Callithrix jacchus: one gene and its partners. The protein of the gene in region 1 purifies or fractionates together with the protein of each later gene. This does not show direct contact. Links are inferred from orthologs where the notes say so. Each region holds a gene or a part of one and is shown on either strand. Other genes may lie near its edges.

What was found.
Region 2: the proteins of PRKACB (region 1) and CDK5RAP2 purify together in Homo sapiens (affinity purification with mass spectrometry; 4 studies listed by BioGRID and IntAct, counting the BioPlex papers as one, with this or other methods). This does not show direct contact. The link is inferred for Callithrix jacchus from reciprocal best matches to the Homo sapiens genes PRKACB and CDK5RAP2.
Region 3: the proteins of PRKACB (region 1) and PRKAR2B purify together in Homo sapiens (affinity purification with mass spectrometry; 7 studies listed by BioGRID and IntAct, counting the BioPlex papers as one, with this or other methods). This does not show direct contact. The link is inferred for Callithrix jacchus from reciprocal best matches to the Homo sapiens genes PRKACB and PRKAR2B.
Region 4: the proteins of PRKACB (region 1) and AKAP9 purify together in Homo sapiens (affinity purification with mass spectrometry; 5 studies listed by BioGRID and IntAct, counting the BioPlex papers as one, with this or other methods). This does not show direct contact. The link is inferred for Callithrix jacchus from reciprocal best matches to the Homo sapiens genes PRKACB and AKAP9.
Region 5: the proteins of PRKACB (region 1) and AKAP11 purify together in Homo sapiens (affinity purification with mass spectrometry; 5 studies listed by BioGRID and IntAct, counting the BioPlex papers as one, with this or other methods). This does not show direct contact. The link is inferred for Callithrix jacchus from reciprocal best matches to the Homo sapiens genes PRKACB and AKAP11.

The regions. Positions count from the first base shown.
Region 1 is NC_133508.1:121,402,537-121,406,051, reverse strand, and holds part of PRKACB (cAMP-dependent protein kinase catalytic subunit beta), read right to left. Parts: intron 3,339-3,515; coding exon 3,277-3,338; intron 1,172-3,276; coding exon 1,043-1,171; intron 1-1,042. UniProt on the Homo sapiens protein: Mediates cAMP-dependent signaling triggered by receptor binding to GPCRs.
Region 2 is NC_133502.1:168,803,398-168,806,912, forward strand, and holds part of CDK5RAP2 (CDK5 regulatory subunit-associated protein 2), read right to left. Parts: intron 2,199-3,515; coding exon 2,082-2,198; intron 10-2,081; coding exon 1-9. UniProt on the Homo sapiens protein: Potential regulator of CDK5 activity via its interaction with CDK5R1. Negative regulator of centriole disengagement (licensing) which maintains centriole engagement and cohesion. Involved in regulation of mitotic spindle orientation.
Region 3 is NC_133512.1:77,495,531-77,499,613, reverse strand, and holds the start of PRKAR2B (cAMP-dependent protein kinase type II-beta regulatory subunit), read right to left. Parts: upstream 2,814-4,083; 5' UTR 2,577-2,813; coding exon 2,270-2,576; intron 1-2,269. UniProt on the Homo sapiens protein: Regulatory subunit of the cAMP-dependent protein kinases involved in cAMP signaling in cells. Type II regulatory chains mediate membrane association by binding to anchoring proteins, including the MAP2 kinase.
Region 4 is NC_133512.1:57,539,977-57,543,491, forward strand, and holds part of AKAP9 (A-kinase anchor protein 9), read right to left. Parts: intron 2,939-3,515; coding exon 2,798-2,938; intron 2,309-2,797; coding exon 1,823-2,308; intron 1,409-1,822; coding exon 1,345-1,408; intron 1,232-1,344; coding exon 1,110-1,231; intron 563-1,109; coding exon 371-562; intron 1-370. UniProt on the Homo sapiens protein: Scaffolding protein that assembles several protein kinases and phosphatases on the centrosome and Golgi apparatus. Required to maintain the integrity of the Golgi apparatus. Required for microtubule nucleation at the cis-side of the Golgi apparatus.
Region 5 is NC_133506.1:161,378,242-161,382,247, reverse strand, and holds the start of AKAP11 (A-kinase anchor protein 11), read right to left. Parts: upstream 2,810-4,006; 5' UTR 2,522-2,809; exon of another isoform or gene 2,511-2,521; intron 2,299-2,510; exon of another isoform or gene 2,067-2,298; intron 1-2,066. UniProt on the Homo sapiens protein: Binds to type II regulatory subunits of protein kinase A and anchors/targets them.

The DNA of each region.
Region 1 (3,515 bases):
AGTAGGAGCCAGATCTGTGGTTTTTTTTTTTTCTTTCAGATCTGTGTTTTAATCTAGGCCTTCTATTTAACTAAATTTCTGACTCTGGAGATGACTTCAACTCTTTGGGCTTCAGCTTTTCAAAATCTGTAACATGAAGTGGTTGGGTCACTACTGCACACATTTTAACCAGTTACATAACAAATTAGTCCATAATTGTCACAATAAATTACAGTTGTCCATCAGTATCCCTGGGGGTTGGTTCCAGGACCTATGGCAGAAACCAACATGCCCAGGTACTCAACTCACTTATATAAAATGACAGAGGCAGGCTGGGCGCGGTGGCTCACGCCTGTAATCCCAGCACTTTGGGAGGCCTAGGCGGGTGGATCACGAGGTCGAGAGATCGAGACCATCCTGGTCAACATAGTGAAACCCCGTCTCTACTAAGAATACAAAAAAATTAGCTGGGCATGGTGGCACGTGTCTGTAATCCCAGCTACTCAGGAGGCTGAGGCAGGAGAATTGCCTGAACCCAGGAGGCGGAGGTTGAGGTGAGCCGAGATCACACCATTGCACTCCAGCCTGGGTAACAAGAGTGAAAATCCGTCTCAAAAGAAAAAAAAAAAAAAAAATGACAGAGGCTTTGCATAAAACTTATACACATTTTCCATATACTTTAAATCATTTAAATACCTAATATTAGGTATTAAGTATAATACCTAATATGTTGTAAATGCTATGTATACAGTTGTTATACTGTATTGTTTAAGGAATAATAAGAAAAAGAAGTCTGTACGTTAGGTATAGATGTAATTTTTTTCCCCAAATATCTCCAATCTGTGATTGGTTAAATCCATGGATGTAGAACCCATGGATATCGAAGGGCTGGCTGTATATTAACTATGTATCATATAGTTACAATAAATAAGGATAAAAATTAAATGTAATAATAAAATTATTTCAAGGTGTCAATGGTAAATCATTATACTGAATCTGTTTAATAGTCTTGCTGATAAAACTAAAGTTTACCCTAAAGGTAAATAACAACAAATATACTAACCTTCTGCTTATCTAAGATCTTCATGGCATAATACTGTTCAGTGGCTTTGTGTTTTACCAACATGACTCTTCCAAATGAACCTGTTCCAAGGGTTTTTTTCCTTTCAAAATCTTCAAGTCCAGCATTACTCTGCATATAAATATATAAATAAAATTAAAACTTCTCATAAAAACACTATGAGAATTAGAAATGCTTTAATAATACATAATCATAATGGATGATTCAATTTATAACTACCCATTTAAAAGCAATACAAAAGGCTATTGAGATTCCACGTTATTGGTTCTGTTTTTCCCTTTGAACAAGAAAGGATTTAATATCTGAGGAGAGATATTAAATATTTCAGCCTCAGCTGAAATATTAAAGATTGCATGCCAGTATGCACTCCTAGTATTGAAATTTTAATCTTAGTACTGAACTTCTAATAAATCATTTTCATATTTTAATAATTACAAACTGACTAGAGGCATACTGGCAGTCATAGAAGCCATACAGACTTAATGCACTTGCAAATAACTGTAATGAATAGATAAACTAAGGAATCAGAGCCCTTTCACTAAAGTTACCTATGAAGAAATCTGTCTTGCTTCATTTCTGTCTTATATAAGCTTGTAGAACTATATAATAGCAGCATGAGAGAGCCTACTGGCTTTCTCTCTGTATGTTATAATAACACAGTATTATCTAAAACAGTAACAATAAGGAAAGAAGCGTTCCTCCTCCTACAAAGAACCAAAGCCAGAATCCCAGAACAATAATCAGGCTCTTCTTTTCTTGAATAGATGTTTTGTTATAAGGAAACATCTTTGTTTGGCTTTGACTACTAAAAAGAAGCAAATAATTGGAGGCATCAATCTATTAAATTTGTTCCTGCCACAACAAAATAAAAATTATTAGAACAATTTATGTGTTAAACAGCAACAAGTAGTAATTGCTGACCCATTTGTTTAATAGGTTTTCAATGCAAAGAACTCCATGAAAATATTGGAAAAATATTTTGAAGGCCCAGTATGCAGTGTTTAGCTTGAGAAAAATGTGATGCAATATGATTCTTCATCCAGTGAGGAATCTGAATAGGTATTGGAGTTCACTGTAGTTGGACTGTATCTGTATTGCAAATCAAATGTTGCCTTTTGAGACCCATTTTAGCTTCCTGTTGGATCATAATGGAGAGCAAGCAATTCTGTTTTACTTATAACTTGTTTTCATCATATTTTGATTTCACAATTTAAAATTTAAAGTAATTTTTAATTATGAGATTTTTTTAGCAATGCAAAAACTCATAATTCTGATAGAATTAATTTAATTAATCTTTAATTTTAGGTTTTATCAACATAGATGGATTAAAATCTTACCATACTCCCAACTAAATAATTAAAACAAATTTTATTAATAGGCAACAGAAATGCTTTTTGCTCTTTATGGTTTTTTCATTGCTTTTCTTTGTATTATAAAAATGTTATCTTCCTTACTTATTGTTTCATGTTACACAATGTCTACATTTTGTAATCACAATGTTTAATATAATTGTGACTATGTTTTAACTTATAGGTCATACTCTAAATCTTGGTAGTAATGGCATCTTTAAATAACATTTACTTAGAATTCTTTAGTGAGAAAATACTTGAAATATAAACCTTTGAGCTAGAAAGAAAAGACTTTAAAATTTAATTTACTAATACAATTTATTCATTATTTATAACTCTAAAAAGATTATTTTTATAAAGTATAGATGGCTCTTCTTATATATAGTTTTTAGATCCCAGTTAAGATCTAAAAATACTTAAATTATCTAGGACATACCCCATCAAAATGATAAAAAAGATGCCTGTGTACCAGGAATGTTGGTGATAACCAAATTCTCTCTGATTGAGAATTTTAAACTGTACAAAAGAACTCTTATTTTTGTATTTAATAAAAATATTAAGTATGCTATTAAAGGCATAATTCAAAATTAATATATTAGAAAATATTAAAATTTTATAGCAATTGGAATTAGTATCAAAATTTATAATTAGGTATTATACTGGAAATTAGCTCCTTCTACAATTTAGATACATCAAGATTATTAATTAATACATCAAAGTATAACTAGCAAAATTCCCATTTTAGGCTTCTGTTTACTAAGACCACATGAAAATTAAAATTTCTGAAGTAATACATTTCTTAGGCAAGAATCATTATTTTATTAACACAAGACCTTTAAATTGTAGAAAAATCTAAATATTCCTTACCGGAGTTGGATTCTCCCATTTTTTCAAAAAGTCTTCTTTGGCTTTGGCTAGAAACTCTTTCACTGAAAATATACATATAAAAACAAATTTGCCTTGTAAGAATATTTAATTATGTCTTAGAATATTTATATTATATGTTTTCTTGCTTAAGAAAACAATCATGTCATCTATTGTGATTAAAATGTATATTTATCACCATGATACATCAGAGAGCTATTTAGTATCTCTAAGAACTTTCT
Region 2 (3,515 bases), on another chromosome or scaffold:
TCTGTTTATCTGCAAACACAAAAAGGCGCCACTGAGAAGGGCCACCATTTGTTTTTTCCAACCTTATTATATAAATACAGCACTTCAAGAATACAAAAAAGAATGAGATTCGATGTGGCATTTATGATTTTGGCATTCCAATTGTCTTACACACTTTGGGCAGATAAATTTGTCAACATCAAGGCTGCAGATTAAACGTCACTGGGATAAAATGGGTCTGTTTAATTTTCTATTAAACAACAGGCCATGTAAACCTAGTTATTTTGCCTTCACAGAGCAGCAGGTAGAAAGTACAGACAGAGGAAAACACAGGGCCCAGAACTCTGGGAATGGGTGTTGGACTGGCCACAGGCCTTCTACCAACCTAGCCCCAGGAGGCCAGCAGGGCTGTACAGATGGTACCTTGAGGCCCATTCACTCCTGAGGCTGAGGACAGCACCTCTCCTGAGGAATGAAATACACCCAGAGGTACAAGAGACACCGTGGTCAAGAGCACAGTGCTTGAGGCAGAGAGGCCATATTCAAGAGCGGCTTCTCCATTTCCTGACTTCATAACCTTGAGTGAGGAGGCTCTTCACTTCTCCATATGTGTTATTACGGGGATTAACTGAGCTACCAGCTATAAAATGTGTTTCCTCACAGGTGTTATTGTGTGGATTAACTGGTTGCCATCTATAAAAGGTTTACCACAGGTCTTCAGGAGCACTCTGGGGGCTGGAAGCTCCATCAGGCTCAGTTGCCAGCAGTGCTGGTGGTGGTAACAGCTGAGCTGCACCAGCACTACCTGTGCAGGTATGACATTGGGGCCTTGACATGCAGTGCCCTGGTTAATCTTCAGGGCTGACTTCCAAGGCAGGCACTATTATTTTCTGCTTTCCAGATAAGAAACTTCCTTAAGGTCACACGGCCAGTAGGTGGCAGAGCCAGAATTCGGACTCAGGTTTTCTGACTCCATTCTTAACCATGACAAGATAATTTCTAAGCAAGCATTCACCTCTCCCCTCAAGCTCCAGACACGTCATGCTTCCTTCACTTCCCGAAAGGCCTGGTCTCTCTTCATTGCTAACCACCGGGCCTTTGTCTGCTCTCTTCCTTCTATTTAAAGGGCCCTGGCTCCTCTCAATCTTTGGCACCTTCACTAAGCCCTCCTCGACTCCGTTCTCAAGGCAAGCTTTTCCTGAGTCAGGATGCCTTCTCTAGGGTCCTGCAGTTCCCATAGTCTGACTTTATCATGGCAGCGGTTCACACTGGCCTGCCATGATTGTCTGGCTGTCTCTTCCATCCGATTATGAGCTCACTGAAGGAAGGGATGAAATCTCTTTCATTTCTGTATCAGAGTCTACATGGCCCTGAAGTAGAACAGGAGATAGGAAATGTCTGCTGAGTGAATGACTGACTGACTGAAGCCCCAATTTCATCTCTTAAGCCAAAAGGAACATCAATATCCTTTTAGGAAAAGTGGAATAAGCTGGCTCAAGTTCTAGCTGTACCACCTTCTAGCTCTGTGACCACAGGCCGGGCAATTCTCTAAGCCTGTTTCTTACCTGTCAAATAGGGCTAATGATACATTATCCCAGAATTGTTTTCAATAGTGAAAGATAATGTAAGTGAAAGCTTTTTAGGAGCCAAGCTCCAAATAGAAGGAAGTAAGATAATGGATCTTTATAAAAAGTATAGGATAAATCTTGCTGATAGCAGGAATTCTCTTGTGGAGATTTTGGCAGTATTGTGTTTCCAGCCCTTCTTTCCCCCACTGTGAACTAGGAGGAAAGACACGTGGCTATAGAGGGGATGAGTGACAAGCAAATGAAGTAACACACTTACTGAGTCCCTATTAGAGACACTACATCATTCAATTGTCACAACAGCCCTATGAGGTATTCCAGCACCTCTCTGATTCCAGTGTTCTCAGCTACAAAACAGGAACACCTCACAGGGCTACTGTGACAATTAAATGGTGTAAAGCCATCGCAGAGCCACAGAATTCATACTTAGGTTGGTCAGACTCCAATGCCTGCATTCTTTCCATGTCACAGAAGGCTTTGGCATTCCAGGCTTCCAGTGACTCCTTTAATTCTTACCTCTGGATCCTTTAATGAGCATTGCATTGAGGGCCTCGTTCTGCTTCCTCAAGAAATGAATTTCTGATGTTAGAGAACTATGAAGCTCGGAACCAGAAGCAAAAATGTTTGTAGAACCTAAAAAAACACACATGAAGACTGATTTATAAACAGTCTTTAGATCAGCAGAGATGGAACTTTCTAGAAAACAGTTTTAAACAATGAGTTAACACAACATACAATGACAATCGCTTCTGTTAACTATGTAAGAAACTACCAGAGGCCAAAGAGAAATGAGAGTAAGCCTGAAAAAGGGGGCAAGAGGGGCTCCCCCACATCTTACCTAAGGGAGAACAAAGCAGAAGACTTGGACCAGGAGTGGGGTGAGCAAGTGAGAGTCTTCACCTTCACAGATGTCTCTCCCAAGGTCAAAATTTACATATCCAGCTGCCTGCCACACCTCACCACTGAGGCAACTCTGTCACTCAGTCCACAGAGCCAAAGCTGAACTCCTCATCCTTCCAAACCTGCTCTCTCTCACCTGTTTCCTGCCTAATGAGATGGTATCGCCACAATCCCTAACCCAAGCTAGAAAGCTGGGAGCCATCCTAAACCCTTCTCTCTTCCACTGCCCAATCAGGGAATCACAACTGCTGCTGCTTCCTCCAAAATGCTTCCAACACTGACCTACCCTTTTTTCATCCTAAAGTTCAGGCCTTATCACTTTGCTCTCTAACCCTGTCTCCCCGTTATTCTGCCAGTGCTTACAGGTTATTATCCCAAACAAAGTCCATTCAAGTAACTGTCTATTCAGAAACATCTGATGACCCACCATGGCAAAGGACAATCACACAACAAAACGCAAGGGCCATCTTCTTAGTTTAGACACCTCTACTCCACAGATAACATTCAAGTTCACTGCCACCCTCAGGAGAGCACCTACTGTGTGCAAGGTGCCTTCTCTATGTGGCAGGCAGATGCTTCCCTCCATGTCCTCCACACTCATTGGGTCCACTTACTACACCACAGAGCCAAAATGCCAGATTCCTGCTTTCCTAGCCACCCTGCATTGAGGACACGGTCATGTGCCACTTCTGGCCAATGAGGCCTGACAGGAAGTCTGCCGGGGTCTTCTGGGAAAGATTTTCCACCAGCATGAAAAGAGGACAGGAAGGGGCCCCACCTTCTTCTTTCCCATGCTTTGGACACCGTCTAAGAGACTGGGATGATTGTAACTACTGCAGTCATCACAGATAGTAACCCAAACTCTGCTGTCACTGAGCCATAAACCTACCTTGGAACTACCTGCCTCTGGGTTTCTTGTTAGGTGAGAAAACACAATCCCTGTTGTTACCGTCAGTTGCTACTCTCATTCTGTTGCTTGCAGCTGAAAGCATCCTGGCACACAACTGAACACCTATCCTATTCAAACTCGTTGCAGGGGAGGAACGACAT
Region 3 (4,083 bases), on another chromosome or scaffold:
CAACTCCAACCCTCAGAAAGTGTATGTGTTTGAAAAAAAAAAAAAAGAAAAGAAAGAAGAAAGGAAGAAGTATTAGTAGTTGATCAAGACCATACATTGCCCACAAAGTCTATAACATTTACTATCCGACCTTTACAGGAAAGACTTGCCAACCACTTTGTAGCCTATAATTAAATGCTTTTCAAAGTCAGGTCTCAACACAATTTAAAATAGAAATAATTGATTCAAATAGGAAATATCAAAAAGCACTGCATCTGACATAAGGAGTACCCGTACTATTGCCAAAGTTTCAGTTGTACACATATATGTGCCACAGGGATAATGATCAAATCCTATCTGTTTGCAGTCAAAAAGTTTTAAAGTCCTTGGGGCTGAGGCTGGGGAGTAAATAGAGCAATTGTTTAACAAGGTTAACTTGTTTAAGTCACATTGAGCAATTTTTACAGTAAAGGTGGCTTGGAGACTATAAAATGATCCCTGCTGTTCAGAAGTTAACAGCTTATTTCTTCACTACAAAATGAACATTAAATCTCTTCTGCGCACAATATATTATTTTAATAAGAAAATGGAATCATCAAAGGAAAGTACTTCAAATTTCTTATACAAACAAAAGAGTCTGATTATATTAACAACATATCATACAGAATATATATAAGATCTTTACCAAGTCCCTTAGTTCCTAGTTTTCTTCTGGGAAAAGAGTCTTTTTTTTCCCCTTGGTGTGTGTGCATGAACATGTGTGCATGCATCCAGAGCATAAAAGAAGTATTAGATACCTCTGCCCTTTCTGTAATCCGTTACTGGCTGCTATTTCCTATCTATTTAAAACATGCATTCTTTCATCTTTCTCTTGTTTCTGGTAAGAAAATCATTTGATTTGATTCTTGTGCAAAAACAATTAAGACTATGATTATCCCCTTGGGGAAACATTTAAAAGTCCAAAATTAAAATTGTAAGTAACAAGTTTCACTTTTATCTTCATGCAACATTAATTTCCAGGGTTTCTGAGATTTAGACAAGCTAAAAACACCTTAATTTTATAAACCATTTCAACATGCAATCCCGCAAAGAAAAGAAACATCTTCCTAGGAGCATACACAAGGGAATGAAATGACACTTTTAAAGGTTTTCATTTTATGAAATACACTGCGGACACACAAACCACAAGCAGTGTAAATAAATAAAAGCTGGTGCAATGGTGCATGCATGTTTGCCTTACACCACAAAGAGAAAACACTTGCACATTGCACTCCATGGTATTTTAGCTTGGGTTGCCATAAAAATGGGATTTGGGCATGTTGTGTAAATACAGGGGGGCTGTAAATGAGGGTGTGTGTCTGGGTGTGTTAGGGAAAGAAGGTTGTAAGCAAAAGGGGTGGGACTTGCCAGGAGCAGCTATTTGAGAAAATTCCTTTTTCTTTCCCATTCATTCTTTCTAGCTCTACTGTCTGGCACAGTCCTTACAATTACTCACTGGCTTTTCATTCTAAAGACAATCAACAAGGCTTCAGAACTTCCTACACTGTTTTTTTTCTCATACGCTTTAAAAAAAAATAAAGCACCAAATAATTCAATATGTTCTTTATATAAAAAGCAAACAATTAACCTGTTTCCTCGTTCCAAAGACCCCCGTGGGTTTCAGACTAATAGGATCCTTTGTTACATGTCCAAAAATAACACAACATGGTATTGGTAAATTGGAAAATAACAGACAACTCTTATCTAAGGATGTCAGAGCTATTGGCCATAAATTTTGTTCTGCCCCAGTGAGTCCAATTTCAAGCCTCTTTCAATGATCTACCGTCCTAACAGTAAAGCCAGTCACATTAAACACCGTTCGCCTTTTCTCTTTTGACATTCCATTAATACAAGAGCTGAAAGAAGACGCCAAGTGGGCCAGTTTCTTTATGCACAATGATGGTATCCTCCAAGCGAAATACCTCCAACCACAGCGAAAGTTGTCTTTCTAGCAGATGCCCACCCCAACCGGCCCAGGCAGAGGGGGCAGAAGGGCAGAGGAAAGCGTAACCTCCCAGCTCTCCCACCTCCAGAGGAAGGGAAGAGGGTATGACAAGGGAGCAGAGTAGGAAGGTGGGCGACTGGGAGAGACAGAAATGGATGCTGAGGGGGTGGGCGAGATGGGAAGGTAGGAAAAGGTGGCGAATGCGTGGAGAGGTGGGTGCGCAAAGCAGCAGGATCCGAGAGCACAGTGGGGAGCGGTAGGGGACAGTGAGGGGGTCCGTGGGCGCGGAGAGGGTCCGGTCCTCACCATTGAACGCCCCTGCGTCTGCGGGCGCCGCCTCCTCCTCCTCCCCGTCCTCGGAGTCGGAGTGCATGGGCTCCTCGGCGAAGTTGACCCCCTTGCTGGGGGTGCCGCCCCCGGCAGCGGCGCCCGTGTCCCCCCAGGTCCTGCCCTCATGGCTGAAGCGCGCGGTGCCTTTGCGCTCGTTCTCCTGCTGCAGGCGCGTGAAGTGCTGCAGCGCGAACTCTAGCAGGTCCGCGGGCTGGTGCCTCAGCACCTCTACCGTGAAGCCCTGCAGCAGCTCCGTCAGTCCCGCCGGAATCTCGATGCTCATCCTGCTTCCCCGGCGGCAGGCGCCCGGGCGCCGCCCTCGCCCCCTCCCCGGCCCGGCCTGGGGCCCAGCGGCTGCCTAACGAGTACCAACGGCGCTGGCGGCGCTACCGGCTGCGAGCGCGGCGCACTGGGCCCCGGCGGCCCGGCTGGCCCGGCCCGCGGCTCCTGGCGCGCGGCTGCTCCGTGTGGCGGCGGCGGCTGAGCGAGCGCGGCCCCGGGAAGGCTGGCAGCATCTCCTGCTCCTCCCGGTCCCGCCGCGACCGCGCCTCTCCCCCGCCCGGTCGCCCCGCCCCCGCCCCACCGCGGCGCGCGGGAGGGGGCGCGGGAGAGCGCGCCCACGTGACCCCCGGAAACCATGGCAACCTCCGCCGGCAGGCGCCGCGCACCCGCGGTTCTGACCGCGCCAGGGTGGAATGCGCTGGCGGGCGGCGCGCCGAGGGCTGGGAGGGGAGCCCTCGCGAGGCCGCCTCGGTGTCCACCTGTCCGCGTGTCCGGGAGCTTGCTAGCCACTCGCCCCGCTTCCCACGCAAAGCTGGTGCCAAGCGATTTGTCGTGAAACTTCAGCCTCCACCTTAGTAGTGGCATTTTATTTTCCTTTTAGAATCTAGCTGCATGATAAGTGTTGTTAATGTCCTTTGTTTGAAGGCTTATGGTGGTACTGGTTCTCTTTTGGACAAAGAAATGCTACCCCATCTTTGTGACGTCTTTCTTTTTCTTCCACCACATTTTATCCAGCCTTTCCTCACCCATCCTGTTTATTATCTTTTTGCCTTACTGATGCTATTTCGTTGTGCACTCCATGCATTTACTATTTACTGAGACAAAGGCACCATTTATTGTGAGGCACCTATCGAAATTAGTCGATCTCCTTCAAATAGGATAGTGCTGGGTGAGGCGCTGATTATTTTAAAACTTTATACTTTGAGTGATTTTGACTTCATCTCCAAAAATTGAAACACTTCGGTATCAAGGAAAATAGAATGACGAATGTGTGCTTTTAAAGTAGAAGTTTTTCACTTTGAAATTAGGCTCACTTTGCAAATGTTTACAATTTTGAAGTAGAAAGAATTGACTTTTGTCAATTAAATATTATTTAAGTACGCATACTTCATTTTTTACAATTACCATATCATTGTAAATAAAATAGTTTAAAAGCAAGCTCGCTTGCTTATTCAGATTTATCTTCCCACCCACGGAAGAGTAAACACATGACTGGGGACTAGAAATCAGAGCTGTAACAAACTAGGCCCTTTGGTAAAAATGGATCTTGATGTTAACCTTTTGTTAATGATGCACCCTATATTCACTCCATGAGCCACTGTATTTCTCTATTTTCATTTCTTATCAACTTCATAGTAATAATGTTGTTTTTAAATATATAGTAATAAAGAACTTCTAATTGGGTCAAACTTTTTTTTTTTTTTTTCTTTTTTTGAGACGGAGTTTCGCTCTTGTTACCCAGGCTGGAGTGCAATAGCGCAATCTCGGCTCACCACAACCTCCGCCTC
Region 4 (3,515 bases), on another chromosome or scaffold:
TGTTGCCTAGGCTGGAGTGCAGTGGTGTGATCTCGGCTTACTAAAACCTCCACCTTCCAGGTTCAAGCAATCCTCCTGCCTCAGCCTCCCAAGTAGCTGGGATTACAGGCATCTGCCACCATGTCTGGCTAAGTTTTGTATTTTTAGTAGAGACGGGGTTTTGACTTGTTGGCCAGACTGGTCTCGAATTCCTGACCTCAGGTGATCCACCCACCTTGGTCTCCCAAAGTGCTGGGATTACAGGTGTGAGCCACTCCTGGCTGATTTTGAAGTGTGAAAATATATACAGCTATTCATGCAAAAACATGTATAAAAGATAATTTAATTTGTAGTGTATTATTACTGTGCATGCTTAGTATTCTTTGGGTACCTCAGCCTCTCTTTGCAGTTGCATTTTGGTAATCAAATCCTTAAGTGATGAAATTATACTGAGGTAAGCTTTTCTCTCTTCTAGCCAAGATTCTGAAGCCTGCTGAATAGAATGGTCCTCTCCATCACTATAGGGCGACTCAGTGAGAGAAAGCACCTGCATGCCTTCATTATGGACAGCTCTCAGTAATCCCTAGAAAACAAAACCCAAAAGCCAGAATTATGACAACTTCTTCACGGACTGAAAAATTAGACATACACAGAGAAATAAATTTTAAGCAAGATATCCTGCAGAGAGAAAACTCCAGCCCAACATTACTGAATACCTTCTTCCTATGGAGGGGTAGGCCGAATCCAGTGGATGGCCTACAACTTTTCATAGCTCTCATCTCTAAGTTCCTTCTGTTTGGCTAACGTACTCTCCCTAGGTTTACTGATAAGCCACTGATTTGACCAAAAGAAATACATGGGATCTAACTTCTACTCTTTGAGATTACTATAAAAATTCTGGCAAATAAAAAGATCAGGAATATGAATTATTAAGAAAACAAGTCTTCATACATATCATCATTAAATCTCTTATCTGTGAAATATGGAAATAAAATAGATCTCTCAGGTTCCTTCCAGGTATGCAATTCTCTCTTCAGAAATGAACCCACCATATAACTTCTAATGAACTGCTATGTTCAACATGGAAACAACACTGGGTAAGGTAATAAAAGGTATCTATGTTTTAATACCTTTATTTTCTTTGGAAAGGAATCTATTGAACTTTCACCTTCTTCTCCTCGGCCTTCTGATGCTGTGTCAAATCCCTGACTGTGTGTAAGATAAATTCCCTGACCCCAGTCCGATCCAGAATCTAAAATAAAAGAAAATCATTTGCTGTTAAAAAAAAAATCAACCCCCAGTCCGCAAAAAACCAGTACTCCTTAAATAAATACTAGAAACATTACAGATATTTATATAACTTACCACTGGAGCATATTTCTCTAGTTTGGTAAGCATCAGAATGTGTTAATTCAGGAATTGAGGATCCCTAATTAGAGGGAAAAAAATACGTTTCTTTGCTTTAATAAAAATAGAATACAATGAATTATTTTGCTGGTTTCTAATGCTGTAAAGAAATCAATCAAATCTGTCACACCTTTCATAATAAATGAAACTATTCATGGTTTTTAACATGTCTATTTTTTCATGAATATTACAATAAGAAGAGACATTCATGAATTAAGTAATGATAACATGTTCCAAATCCATACAGGAACATCGTACATTAACTCTACACAATGAAAACATTTACAACATTGTAAACTAAAAATTATTTAAATTTAAAACAGTTTAAAAACTATTAAAATTGTGATAGTATCATAAGGAAGAGACTGCCCCAAGTTTTTAAAATTTTCTTTTAAAAGCAAACTATTGAAAAACACATATTATAAAAACCAAATACCTCTTTACTTCTCAGACACTGTATCACTGCCTTCAAGGTACCACATTCCTCTGTCAGCAAGTGAACAGCAACATAGTGTTCCCTCTTTAAGGTTTCAGTCTCTGAAATATGTCTAGATTCCATGTCCAAAATTTCAGCAGCATGTAGTTCTTGCATCTGCTCAATTTTTTCAGTAAACTGATTGATTATTTCAGTAACTTCTTCTGAGGAACATTCACTCTGTAAATCAATTTGTATTCCTGCATTTTTAACAAGAATTTGTGGAGTCTGATTGCTGCTATTGACCTTCAGAGTCCCATCTGTCTGGGATGCAATGCTCTTACTCAATTTTATAGGACGTGGCTCGAACATGCAGATCTTTTTGTTTTCTTGTACCTCAATCTCATCTTCTTTTTCTAAAATGGACAATTTCTCTTTTGCCTCTGTAAGGTGATCCCTAACTTGGCTTAAGTCCTTTTGAAGAGATACCATATTTGTTTCTTTTACCTAAAACATAATGAACAGAACGGTAGGGCATTTGGTTAAAATCTTTCCATATTAAGTATAGAATTTAAAGGGGGTAAGAAGAGTGTAATTAATGATTATATGTTCATTTTCCTCAGAGTAGCAGGAAAAACATTTCAGAAACACTCATAGTCTACATATATATTTGTATGTAGGTAGGGTCATAGATTAATATAGAAGTGAAATAATTCTATCAGCTTCTACAGTTCTCTTTAACAACTTTCTACTCTTTCATTAACAGAATGGCAATAAAAAGTATCCTCCTAACAAAGATTTCCAAGAAAATCAAGCAAGAAGATGTTGGTAAAGAAATTTATAACAATGAAAGTTTTCACCAAATCCACAAAAGACTTTTTAATCTAGCTTTTAAGTTACAGAGCTTGATTTATTTTTACAGAAGAGTATATACTTTGAAACGAAACTAAGATAGGTAGAAGTCAGTAAATTAAGGAGCTATGTTACTTATCTTACCAAAAGTTCTTCTTGAAGTTTTTCAGTCTTTTCTTTATAACTGTCAAGTTCTGCTTTGGTAGCCACTGATTCAGCTCTAAGAGCCTCAAGTTCATTAAAAAATCCACTTTCTTCATTGGTATGAAATAGTTTAGCAGTTGTCTGAATGACAGTGGAAAATACAAGAAACACATCATTTAAAAAATACATAGCTAAATTCAAGGCACTTATATATTCTAATAAAACTATCCAAGGAAGTCCAGGCGCGGTGGCTCATGCCTATATTTCCAGCACTTTGGGAGGCCGAGGCGGGTGGATCACGAGGTCAAGAGATTGAGACCATCCTGGTCAACATGGTGAAACCCCGTCTCTGCTAAAAATACAAAAAATTAGCTGGGCATGGTGGCTCGTGCCTGTAATCCCAGCTACTCAGGAGGCTGAGGCAGGAGAATTGCTTGAACCCAGAAGGCGGAGGTTGTGGTGAGTCGAGATTGTGCCATTGCACTCCAGTCTGGGTAACAACAGCGAAACTCTGTCTCGAAAAAAAAACAAAAAAACAAAAAATGATCGAAGGAAATGACTGCCTATAGATAAATGGAGCTGCAACAAATTAATGCTCTTTCCAAAAACAGAGAAGCTTTTTCAGAACCATCATCTTGTATTCTTGAGAAAATGATTTCCTTCTTGAGAAAAGAATGATTTTTCTGGGAATAAAAGGTAAATAATGTCATTCGTGTGC
Region 5 (4,006 bases), on another chromosome or scaffold:
CATTTTTCTTTCTCTTCCCCATATTACCAGCTTATTGACCCTTAACTCACGCCCAGGCTAAACTTAGATCTTTATTCATCTGTCCTCACCCTTCAATCCTTCCAAGTAGTTGATTAGTAAAAATGCAAACAAGACAGAAAAAAGAAAAACAGAATAAAAACAGTTACCCTATCAAAAGTTAGAATTACTTTTGAAAAACCAAATACACATGCTAAATGTTTGAAACCTTTGCCAAAAAGTTATGAAGACAAGCCAAAAACATTATTTTTCTATTTCTGAAAATTAGTTTGCTAAGATGGAAAGAGAAGAAATTTCTTCTAATCAACAGTGGTATCCTTTGCCAATTCACAATGAGAGATCTTCTGTCTTTCACATTTTTGTTAAGAACAGACAGACTTCTTCTACCTATTTATAACCGGCCATTTCTCTACAACGGCCTTTCGTATACTGTCCAAATTGGTTTGAGCTCCTTTTCCAGACAGTAAGTTCCTAAAATTAAAAAATTAAAAGTTCCTCATTTTTCCAGCCTCTAAAGGCAAAAGAGGACTTCTCTAGCTTCTAGACTTACCCTTGGATTTCAGGGGGCTACAGAAGGCTAGAGAATTTCTCATTGGGGTTCCATGTCTTAGGCAACTTACTATATCCTCAACAACTGCAAAGTATCACTGGCCTAGGGTACACTGCTGGGCTGTCTTCAATCTTATCCACAGTGCCATTATGCAGGCACATACACTAGTCACTAGGCCAGCGTGGGAGCCCACTTCTTCCCCGATTCCCTTACATTCTTTGACCTTTCATAAACTACTGGTACAGCTACAATTAATGGTGACATTCACTGTTCACCCCGGGTCACAATTTTGTCAGAAGAAACAACAACAACAAAATGAATAATCAAGGTACCATTTGAAAAAACTGTGTGTTTAAAAAAAAATCATTAAACTGGACTATTTTAACTGACACCAATCATGCTAGGCACTGGGCTGCCATTCTAAAATCATGACATAAAAATACTATCTTTGCATTACTGAGTACCCCATTTTTCTTAGTACTCTATGTTTTGAGTATTTTCAAACATAATGAAATCACAACATAACATTTCTAAAAAAGTGGGAAGAGCTAAGCAAAACAAGCATTTTGCAAGCCATTGAAAGCTGAAAAGAGAACAGCAATTAACTATGGTTTGTACTAAAGCTATTAGATACGTGTCTCAGCACTCTTTCTCAACATGAAACTCCGTAACATCTAAAGCTAAACCGCATCCAACTTTATATGGTTTTAGAAGACAGAGAAAGCGGAAAACAAATGTAAGCCGGTAATATGGGGAGGAGAAAAAAATGTTAGCTTTTACTGTCGTTGTCATTTATTTATTTTTTTTAATACTTCGGTTACATCTACGTATTTTTTTTTTCTTAATAAAGTGGCTTAGACGCCTGGATTAATAGCAGTACATCCAATCCATTCGGAGTACTTTGTGGCCAGCTGCTAAGTCATTAAAAGCCTAGGAGGGTATTTGACAGCGAATCCATATATCAATACTGTGAGGAGCCGTTTGACGCCTTCCGTTTCTGTCACAAGATCTGAGCAGCGCCTGCTTCCAGGGCTCCGGGGTTCTGACAGTGAAGGATGCTGTTCGGGGACAAAGTGTAACGTCGTCCTCCGGCTGCAAATGCTCCTGTGCGCACACCACGAACACACACTAAGCACGCGCACCACGCACACGTCTCTGAAGACCACCCCGGGGATGAAAAGAGCCTGTCACTAAAACGGGCGGCAGCTCCATCCCCACCGCAGGGACCCCAGGAAGACGCTTCTCCAGCCCGAGCACCACCCTCTACCACGGGCCCGGTGCCTTGGGCTTCCTCTCTCGGCCGCGCTCCTCCCGCCCTCCTCCCTCCGCCATGCGAAGGCGCAGCTCTCCCGCGGCCCCGAAGCCAGAAGGGGAACCACGGAAAGGCGGAGGGGTTGCGGCGACAGAGCCGGGCCCGCTCCATCCATGCTGGCAGCACACCCGCCGCCACCCCAGCTAAGCGCAGCCTTCGCTGCGGGCTAGTCGGCGCCCGGCTCACCTGGGGGCCGCAGCCTCCGCAGCTCACGGACATGTCACCGGCCGCAACGAGCCGAGAGCGAGCCGGGCGAGCAGGCTGGCCCCGTCCCGCGCCGGCCCCCAGCCCTCCCCCCTCCCAGCCCCGCGTCCCGCCCTGCCCACCCCTCGGCTTCCGCCGCCGCTGCCGCCGCCGCAGCCGCCGCAGCTCCGGCCCGCAACACCGCCTACTCTCCACGCCTCCCACTCACTCTCGCGAGAGGAAAACGCGCCTCTCGCGAGAAGAACCCCGCGGCGAGCCCGCGCAAAAGTGGGTGGGCGTTTAAAAAGGGAAAGAAGGAACAGGAAAAAAAGCCTCCCCACGTGCTCCGGAGCAGCTAGCGGAGCAGGCCCGCCGGTCACATGACCTAGAGGCGGCCTTTCCATTGGCCAGGACCTGCTCAGCCGTGGGAGCTTTAAATTCGAGGCTGACCTACGAACCTGCGGCGGACGTCTTGCGCGCTTCCTGGTCCGTTGCCTTGGAAACGGCTTAACCCTTTCCTCTGGCAAGTCCCCAGGCCTTGGCTTGCTCCGCAGGTTTGCTTTCAGGCTCTGTCTCTTTTCCGTCGACCCCTTGGTCTTGCCGCCTGGGGTTAGCTGGGCTCCTTCTTCGCCACAAGGCTAGTTTTGTTTTCTTCCGAAGCCCCAAGCCCTTCCCAAAGTGGCAGCCCCACCAGATCTGACTGCCCAAGGATGGGCCATCCTTTCTGATGGCTCCGCCCCTTCTCCCAGCATCTCCAGGGAGGACTACTCACAGCGCCCAGGGCCTCCGGTCCTATCCCAGCCAAGATTCTCAGGGCCCTAGTGCACCCAGTAGCACCAGGATTCTCAGGGCCCCTAGTGCTCACTCTGATGTCTTTACATGATACGGAAATCAGAAAGTAAAGCTTTAGTCACTGGGAAGCCTAGCCAGAGATGAAAAGCTATTATGCTGATTATTTTCACCTAAAATCTGAAGGGCCAGTCCAGTCAGATTGCCCTGTCTCCTCGAAAGCATTTTTCAAGAGTGCAAACACCTGGCAAGGAGAAAGACATTTTTGAGAGTGTCCTGATTATGAGTTAAGTTTGGCCCTGTTCGGAGGAGAGGGTCAGGGAAGAAAAGGGTGCATTCATTTGTTCTTCATTCAGCAGACACTGCTACACGCTGTCTATTAAGCAATGATGACGACAAATAGTGTAGCTTCTAGGGAACTTATCTGAAGGTGAAAAGAAGGGGAAAAAATCTGTTGGTTTTAAGCTGTATGCAAAGAAGTTACAAGAAGTGACCAGATGGTGATTGAGTGGCTAGTAAAGGGGCTGCCCTTTTGAAGAGGAGACCCTTTAGCAGGGATTTGAATAACAGTCATGCAAAAGTCAGCGTAGAGCATTCCAGGAAAAGGAAAGCACGAATTCAGAGGTCCTAAATAAGGACCTTTTCTAGTGCATTTGAGGGAAGAAGAAATGAGAAAGGAAACTTTCTTGATCCTGGAGTTGGAATCTGTAAGAGTTAAGAAAGAAGAAAGTAACACAAAAAGCCTCTTAACAAAGCCAGGTTTATCTTGGAGAATAAAACTGAGAGGGGCTTCTGGCTGACTTCGGTCAGGAGCGTTCTCTCTTACAGACTAAAGACATTCAATGATTTAGGGAGGGAGAGCTTATTGCAGGCATGGAATGTTTCTGGGTGGAAGAGAGTTTTATTGCCGGGGATGGAATGTCTGGTCCAAGGGGAGTTTATCTCAGGGCTGGCATATCTCTGGTCAGAGGGGAGGTTATCTTCGGGCTGGCATGTTTCTGGTAGAGAAGGGTTTATCTCTGGGTTGGAATGTTTCTGGTTGAAGGTGTCATTGTGGTTTATGGTCATGCTGATATTAGCCGTTAGGCTGTTTTTAGGGCTGGATTTAGGCGGTTTTTAATCAAGGGAAACTTAAAATGGCGGTACTTGTCCAA